Linked DNA regions of Canis lupus familiaris. The protein of the gene in region 1 purifies or fractionates together with the protein of each later gene. This does not show direct contact. Links are inferred from orthologs where the notes say so. Each region holds a gene or a part of one and is shown on either strand. Other genes may lie near its edges.

The links. The genes of interacting proteins can lie anywhere in the genome.
Region 2: the proteins of PHRF1 (region 1) and CSNK2A2 purify together in Homo sapiens (affinity purification with mass spectrometry; 3 studies listed by BioGRID and IntAct, counting the BioPlex papers as one, with this or other methods). This does not show direct contact. The link is inferred for Canis lupus familiaris from reciprocal best matches to the Homo sapiens genes PHRF1 and CSNK2A2.

Annotation. Positions count from the first base shown.
Region 1 is NC_049239.1:26,028,542-26,032,682, forward strand, and holds the start of PHRF1 (PHD and RING finger domain-containing protein 1), read left to right. Parts: upstream 1-1,341; 5' UTR 1,342-1,444; intron 1,445-1,739; 5' UTR 1,740-1,857; intron 1,858-2,082; exon of another isoform or gene 2,083-2,107; intron 2,108-4,141.
Region 2 is NC_049223.1:57,697,646-57,701,290, forward strand, and holds part of CSNK2A2 (casein kinase II subunit alpha'), read left to right. Parts: intron 1-164; coding exon 165-248; intron 249-1,046; coding exon 1,047-1,157; intron 1,158-1,398; coding exon 1,399-1,500; intron 1,501-2,243; coding exon 2,244-2,344; intron 2,345-3,358; coding exon 3,359-3,507; intron 3,508-3,645.

The DNA of each region.
Region 1 (4,141 bases):
AGCAGGTAGGGCCAGCGCCCGCCAAGCTCCAAGCGGAGAGGAAGGGGGAGGTGCCTGGCACAGGGTAGTCGCAGTACCTGTGCTGGACCCCAATTCTCACCCAGCCAGCCCTCGACCTCCCTGTTTTACAGCCAAGGATGGGGAGGCACAGAGAGGTCCAGAAGCTCTGCTCATGGGTAAACGACTGATACACTGGTTCAAGCACCTGGCCTGGGGGACACCCAGGGCCACCCCTCTCCAGACCCCACCCCTGTGGCCCGCGGAGAGAATTTGCTCCACGGTCTTCCGCATCTCTGACGCCTTCCATTGTCCCTTTTGGCAGAGTCCGTTTCGGAGTCTGAACTAGCAGTTATTTCTCCGGTGGAGCAGAAAACGCAGCCCTCCCTTGGCGGGCCCCACTCTTCCTTCCTGTCGCAGTAGAGCCACTTGCAAGAGTTGGGGCGCTGGCTACTCTCCCCCCCCGCCCTCCGGGCTGCTGCGCAGGGTGTCAGGGACCCCGCCTCACTGTACCCTGGGCCTGGCTGCTGTCGTCCTCGCCTGGCTTCCGGATGCCCCTCTCCCGGGCTCCCCTGGGTCAACTCCGCACATCCCTCAGCAAATCCCTTTTCTTCAGAATCTTCCTGCACCTGAGCCCCAGCCCCGCCGCTCCCCGGGTCCGCCCTGCCCCGCCCCCGTGCAGACCTTGAGGGCCTGACTCCTTCCCAGGTGGGGCCCCCACGAGCTTGCCCGGTGCACCCTCATCGCCGGAGTAACACTGGCCGGGCCTGCCCGAGGCTCCTCGAGCCCGGATCCTACCCCGCAGCGCCAGTCGGCTGCTCACAACCGCGCGCGGGGCGGTGCCGGGCGGCGCCCGTGCTTTCCCGCTTCTGGACCCGACGGGACTGGGGCTGGGGTCCCCCCAGGCCGTGCCCTGCACCTGGAGGAAGCCGCGGCGGCAGAGCGGCGGGCCCCGCGGGGCTGGGGGCGTGGCCGACGGAGGGAGGGCGGGGCCTCCGCGTGGGGGCGTGCCCGGGGGCGGGGTCTCAGGGGCGGACGACGGCCGCTTCCATTCGGCCCGGGCGGGGGGCGGGGCCCGGACTGTATCATTCCCGGCGGGGGAGGCCGACGAGGAGCAGCCTACAGGCGGGGGCCCAGACACCACGAGTTGCCCAGGACGCTGGTCTTCCCGGGAGGCGGGCGGCCTCAGGAGGTGCCTTCGAGGTCTCGAGGCCCCTGGCCGCGGCGAGGGCGCCCTCCGCCACTTCAGGCTCATCTCCATCCCCCCGTCCCAGTGGTTCCCGCCTACGGGCGGGGCGGGGAGGGAGGGCCCCGGAAGCCGGGTCCGTGCACTTCCGGGTCGGGGAGCGCGCGGCGGCGGCGGTGGCAGCGGCGGCCTAGTCGAGGCGGGCTCTCGGGCGGCGGCGGCCGGCTCCGGGGGTCTGCCGGAGGGGCTCCAGGCTCTCGGGTACGTGCGGGGCCCGCGGCGGTCTCGGGGTCCCGGCCGCGCCCCGGCCGCGAGGGCCGTGCCCGAGTGCCGCGCGCTTTGTCTGCGGCCTGCCCCGCGGGGCGAGGCCTGCGCTGCGCTGGCTCCCGGCGGGCGGCGGGCGGCGGGGAGGGCGGGCCCCGGGCGGCGGGGGGCGGGGCGGGCGGGCCCCGGGCGGGCGGGGGCCCTTCGGGCCGCCGCCTGGGCGCCCCAGCCGCCCGCGCTGTCGCCCTCCCCGGTGTGGGCGGCGTGTGACCGTGTGCCCACTCGTTTCCAGCTCCTGGTAGTCCCTGCTCGCAGCGGCCTCGTCGCGGTCCCGGCGGTCCCGGCGGCCGAGCGTTCGCGGGATGCATTGCTGCTAGCTCCCGCCGTCCTCACAGCACGCCCGGGAGGAGGTACTGCCCTTCTGCCCTGCACGGGGTCCGTCGGAGCTCGGACTCCTGCTCCGCGCTGTTTGCAGCGGCGCTCGTGCCTCAGCTTGCGGCTTAGGAGGCTGTAGCACCTGCCGTTCTAGGGAGCAGGTGCTAACCCGTGCGCGAGCCTCCGCCGGGCCGGGGGTCCCGCCGAGCCCCTGGCTGCGGTTGAGGCCTCCCGGGACCGCCGGCGGTCTGCCTTGAAGTTGGAGGAAGTGCCTGGCACCTTCCAGTGCGTTCTCCGCGCCAGGCGGGTGGCTGGGGGCCTCTCCGCAGCTGCCCAGCCTGGACTCTCGCTGGCCGGGTCAGCCCCGTGCAGACCTTGAGGGCCTGACTTCTTCACTCCTATTGCAGTTCACAGTTTCTAGGTCTCCCTCCGTGTGGGCAGACCGCCAGTACTGGACGACGGTCCTGGCCGGGTGTGACCTGCTGGACCTGGCCCAGGTGCCAGTTACCACCAGAAGTCCTTTATGCTTCCTTAGTAACGGTTGGAATCGTAGGTGCTTTGGGTCCTTGCGTTTGGAGGTTTAATTATTTCCTCTAAACCCCCCTGAATCTGGAGGTAGAGCGGGAGAGCCACAGAGCACTGCCAGCACTGGCCTGTGGTCTGGAACATGTCAGCGGAGGTGGGGATGGTGGATGTGGGCAGGCACGTCTGAGCTGGGCTGCAGGTGGGGCCAGTAGGTCCTAGGCTGGGGTCCCGGTTAACACAGTTCTGACTGCAGACGTCCAGACAGGGAAAGGGCTGCTGAGGGGTCTCTAGTCGTGGCCTCTTCCTCGGTGTTTGCACAGGTGCTTGCTCTGGGAAATACTTTCAGAGGCTACCTGGGATCTTGGCCAGTGGTTCCCTGTCATGTGGTGATGGAGGGACAGACAGTGATCAGCCTCCTAGTTGACACTCTGCTGCTGCCCTCACCAGCTGTGGTGGAGGAGCACCGGGCCCACGGGACCTAACCCCACAGGTGCAGGGACTCGGGGGCTGGTATTTCTGGCAAGCCCCTGTTGTGCCAGACCTCACCGTGGCCTTGTTGACCTTTTCAGGCAGCCCTCTGAGGCAGGTCCTGCCACTGCCCGTCCCGGGTGGACCTAGGTCTTAGTGCACTAGGGGAGAAGCCAGGGGCTGTTCATTCATAGTTTTGACTTTGTGCTTGTGTAACACATTATCAAGATAAGGATCTGCACCCTAGAAACCACCCTTGGCTGTGCTCTGTCCTCTCTTGGGTGGCCTCAGGGGGTCACGTTTTCTGGTGTCTGAAGTGTCCCTGGTAGGTTTTCGTGTGTTAGTACTGTCAACCCTTGAGCAGCACCAGGATTTAGGGCTGCTGATCACCATGCAGTGGAAAATCCGAGTAGATCTTTTGATGATGGTGTACTGTTGAGCGGAAGCCTCACTGATAACACAGACAGTTGATAAACGCGTGTTTTGTGTGGTTATGTAGCGTATCCTAACAAAGTAAGCTAGAGGGGAAAATGCTACGAAGAAAATTGTAAGGAAGGAAAACACACTTATAGTAACTGTACTCATCCAAAAAATTTGCACGGAGTGGATCTGAGTGGGTTTGTGCAGTTCAAACCTGTGTTTTTCAAGGGCCAACTGTATTCACCTCTGTTGTAGGGCAGGAAAGGTGCTCATACTTCCGGGGCTGGTTAGGTATTGGAGCAGGTGTTCAAGTACCACTGTGTGGAGTCCAGTTGTGGGAATGGTGGTGACACCTGGAAGGGCTGTGGCGCTGTCCTGCCCTGTGGTCTGTACACCTCCAGCAGGTTGCCTGGGTCCCAACAGTGTTGCTGAGCCACCAAACAGGGTGCACACCCTTAGTTGAGTGGGACCGTGGCTCATTTTCTTAACTGTTAAACACTAAGTAGAAGAAAAGTGGAAGCTTTAAGGGGTTGGTAATTGTACAAAAGCACCTCGTAGTATGCTATTTCCAGGTACAAACGATATGAGGAAGTTGATAGTTTCCTCAGATTAACATGCCCTCGCTATGTTAGGAAACATCATCCTAGAATCTGGGGCTTTGTAAGGGAAGTTAGGCACTTCAGAATCTGAATCTGGCTTTGGCCCCACCGGGAGGTGATTGTCTGGGAGCATCTGTACAGAGGTGGTGGTGACGGCCCCTGGGAGAGAAGCCTGCCTGTGGGATCCACGACGAGAGCCTTACCTGGCTGGACCCACCTTCCCCCGCCCTTGCCTTGCCTCGCCTCTCTGCCTTCTGGTCTTTTTTGTGACCCCTTTCCTCTGACCTCAGACTTGGCCCCGCTACAT
Region 2 (3,645 bases), on another chromosome or scaffold:
GAGCACTAGGGGTACCATCTGAGGCATGGTTATTGTCCTCTGTCGCAGCAGTAAGCTGCCCCTTGGGAGATTGTATTCACGTGAAGCTGTCACAAATAATATGCTTGCGTTGGGAGGTTGGTAGACAGTGTGCTTACTTTTCTCTGTGCTTTCTTATCTAATAGGCTCTGGATTACTGCCACAGCAAGGGAATCATGCACAGGGATGTGAAACCTCACAATGTCATGATAGATCACCAACAGAAAAAGGTACCGTTGCAGCCAGGCAGCAACAAGGCTTTTCTTAAAAGGTCTAGGGCAGACCACAACTCTAGGTATTGACCTAGGAGGGACTGCAGACCAGTACTGTTTTCTTTGGCAGACTTGTGTTATTGTTATTTCTCCGGTCTCCAGTGTTGCTTTCTGCTCTGCATGAGCATGGTACACAAGGAAAGTAGACCCGTGAGCCTAACTGTAGTCCCTTGTTTATTTTGGTCATGGTTTTCCAGAGGGCCTCGCAAAGAAACTCCAGCAGATGGTTTGTACTTCTTTTAATGACCCTTAGACCAGTCTGCCTAGCCTTTACACTTGGGTCCCTCCTGTTTTTCATATCCAATTCTGGTTGTCTCTGATTGGTGAGTAAGTGATTCCACTACTGTGTGATTAATGAAAAGCTGGAGCAATGCTTCAATCCTGGGGTGGGGCCTGGGTCTCCAACCCTTTGTGTTGTGGCTTGAGCTTATGATGGGAGCTGTTAATAATGGGGGAATGTGTTATATGCAAGTAAAACAGAGGCAGAGTAAAAAGCTTAAGCTTGATTGATGGGAAGAGAATGATAAGCCAGGATAATTTAAATTAAAAAAAAAAAACAACAACAAATAAGATTCTGAAAGCTCTACTGTAGAGGTGACCTCTTCCACAGTTGCTGAAAGGGTAATTTTTGCCAGTGCACTGGCTAACATTTGTTATGTAGCGCACATATTGTCAGCTAACGTGATGTGGCCTTTTTCTAAGGCACAGGTGTCTAGAAACACTCCTTTACGGGTTTGATTTCTGTTGTGTTTGTAGCTGCGGCTCATAGACTGGGGTCTGGCAGAGTTCTACCACCCTGCTCAGGAGTACAATGTCCGTGTAGCATCGAGGTACTTCAAGGGACCGGAGCTCCTTGTGGACTATCAGGTACAACTCACGCCTCCTTTGTGTGTTTCCTTAGGGCTTCTCCTCGTGTGCTGTTTATTAAGTCAGTTTGGATACATTCAAAACCCCAGCCTGAAGCAGTCATTTCAGATTTTTCTCAGTGACTTTTTTTTTTTTCTTTGAATTCTAAAATATGTGCAAAGGTCAACTGAAGACTAGAAATCCAGATCAAAGAAATACATTTGCAACACCTTTCACTAACAGGCTGACCTTGTTTCCCCAGATGTACGATTACAGCTTGGACATGTGGAGTTTGGGCTGTATGTTAGCAAGCATGATCTTTCGAAAGGAGCCCTTCTTTCACGGACAGGACAACTATGACCAGGTGAGCAAACACTAACTGGCTCTTCCCCATGTGGGGGCACATGCCAAAGAAATGGGAGTCTGTTGACAGGGATGCTATCCTTGAGTCACTCAGTGTCTGCACTTAAGTTCTCCTTCAGGGTAAAGAGCTTCATGAGATTTTGTCTGTGGTTACTAGGTCCCCAAACATAGAGCCAGATAAAGCTATCTTACTAAGCTCCACGTATGCCCCACAGTGAGTCTGTGAAGAAGTCAGACACACCTTGTCTAACAACTAGCTTCTAGATTAGATTGTGATGCCCCCGTAATTGTCAGCTTCTGGAAGATTATTGTCTTAAGTTATTACCATTTTATTTTTGTTTTGTTTTTAATTTTTTTTTTTTTTATTTATTTATGATGGTCACACAGAGAGAGAGAGAGAGGCAGAGACATAGGCAGAGGGAGAAGCAGGCTCCATGCACTGGGAGCCTGATGTGGGATTCGATCCCCGGTCTCCAGGATCGCGCCCTGGGCCAAAGGCAGGCGCCAAACCGCTGCGCCACCCAGGGATCCCAGTTATTACCATTTTAAAGGGAGTTTGGAAATTTGCTTTCTGTGAACATCATTGGCCTTTGGTCTACCTCCTGTCAGCCCCGGGCTCCAATCTGCCTCTGGTCCCTGGAGATTCAGTGATGGAGAAGTCCTCTCATTTCTTGGGATAGCATCCTCACAGGCTTGCGGTGAGCTCTGTGCTCAGTAATTTGGTCAGTTTGTTTTGTGTTTCAGCTTGTTCGCATTGCCAAGGTTCTGGGTACAGATGAGCTGTATGGGTATCTGAAGAAGTATCACATAGACCTAGATCCGCACTTCAACGATATCCTGGGACAGTAAGTAAGAGAGAGGGAGAGAGAACGAGGGTTTTAACTAAACCCATTTCAGAAGAGGGAATATTCGCCGAAATCACTTGCTAATCATAGCAAAGTTGAAAATACCCTTCTTTTTTCTCATGTATGCTTTTTAAAACTTGTTTTGAGGTTTGGGCATTGTTTACATGTGTCTTCTGATCGTTGTACTTCTCCAAGAGATAACCTGTCAGTCCATAGAAAATAGGAGACAAAATCCTGTTACAGTGAAATGCTTTGCAGGACAGTGTATGCTTATTTTAATGGAAAATCTTAGAAAGCTGTGATTCTTCTTTGAGGAAGAGATTTATAGTTTTTTCTTGTTCTAGTTAACGGGTTTTCTACAAGGTGGCAAATTTTATTTTTTTTTAAGATCTTATTTATTTATTCATGATAGACATAGAGAGAGAGAGAGAGGCAGAGACACAGGCAGAGGGAGAAAAGCAGGCAGGCTCCATGCCAGGAGCCTGACGTGGGACTCGATCCCGGGACTCCAGGATCGCGCCCTGGGCCAAAGGCAGGCACCAAACCGCTGAGCCACCCAGGGATCCCCCCAACGTGGCAAATTTTAAAGCATATTTGCAGGTACAGTGTACTAGTGTTGAAAAGTAAATGCGTTGACAGTTCTCAGTGTTTTGTGGAGCCTCTGTTTCCAAGGCTAGCTCTCTAAATATTTTTGCTGCACAACAAAAATAACTCTGTCACCTCTGTGCCTCACCAGAATTGACTAAAAGCCTGATCCATAAGAAATGATCTAGGAAGGTGCCACAAATTCTAAATCAGATGTAGAAGCTTTAGTTCATTTTATCAGAGAGCATGTTTTTTGTTTCAAGATGCCTCAGATATTCCCGTGGAGGGTGGGGCAGACACCTGTGAGAATGAGATTTAATAAGTTTATAATCCTCCTGGGGTTCTAAGATTCTATTGGCTTTAACCATGGTAATGTCTGGATTCTTGTTGAATTGAATCTCAGTACCAGTGCTTCCCTTTCCTCCTCAGACATTCACGGAAACGCTGGGAAAACTTTATCCACAGTGAGAACAGACACCTCGTCAGCCCTGAGGCCCTAGATCTTCTGGACAAACTTCTGCGATACGACCATCAACAGAGACTGACCGCCAAAGAGGCCATGGAGCATCCCTACTTCTGTGAGTCTCCAGGGACCATTTGCAGGGGCCTGATTTATTAAAGGAATAAGTCTCCTGTTCTTTATCTTTGAGGCCAGTCAGGAGAATTCTAGGTGTTTGGATTGAATCATCCTTGGAATTTGGCCTCATTCATTCTGG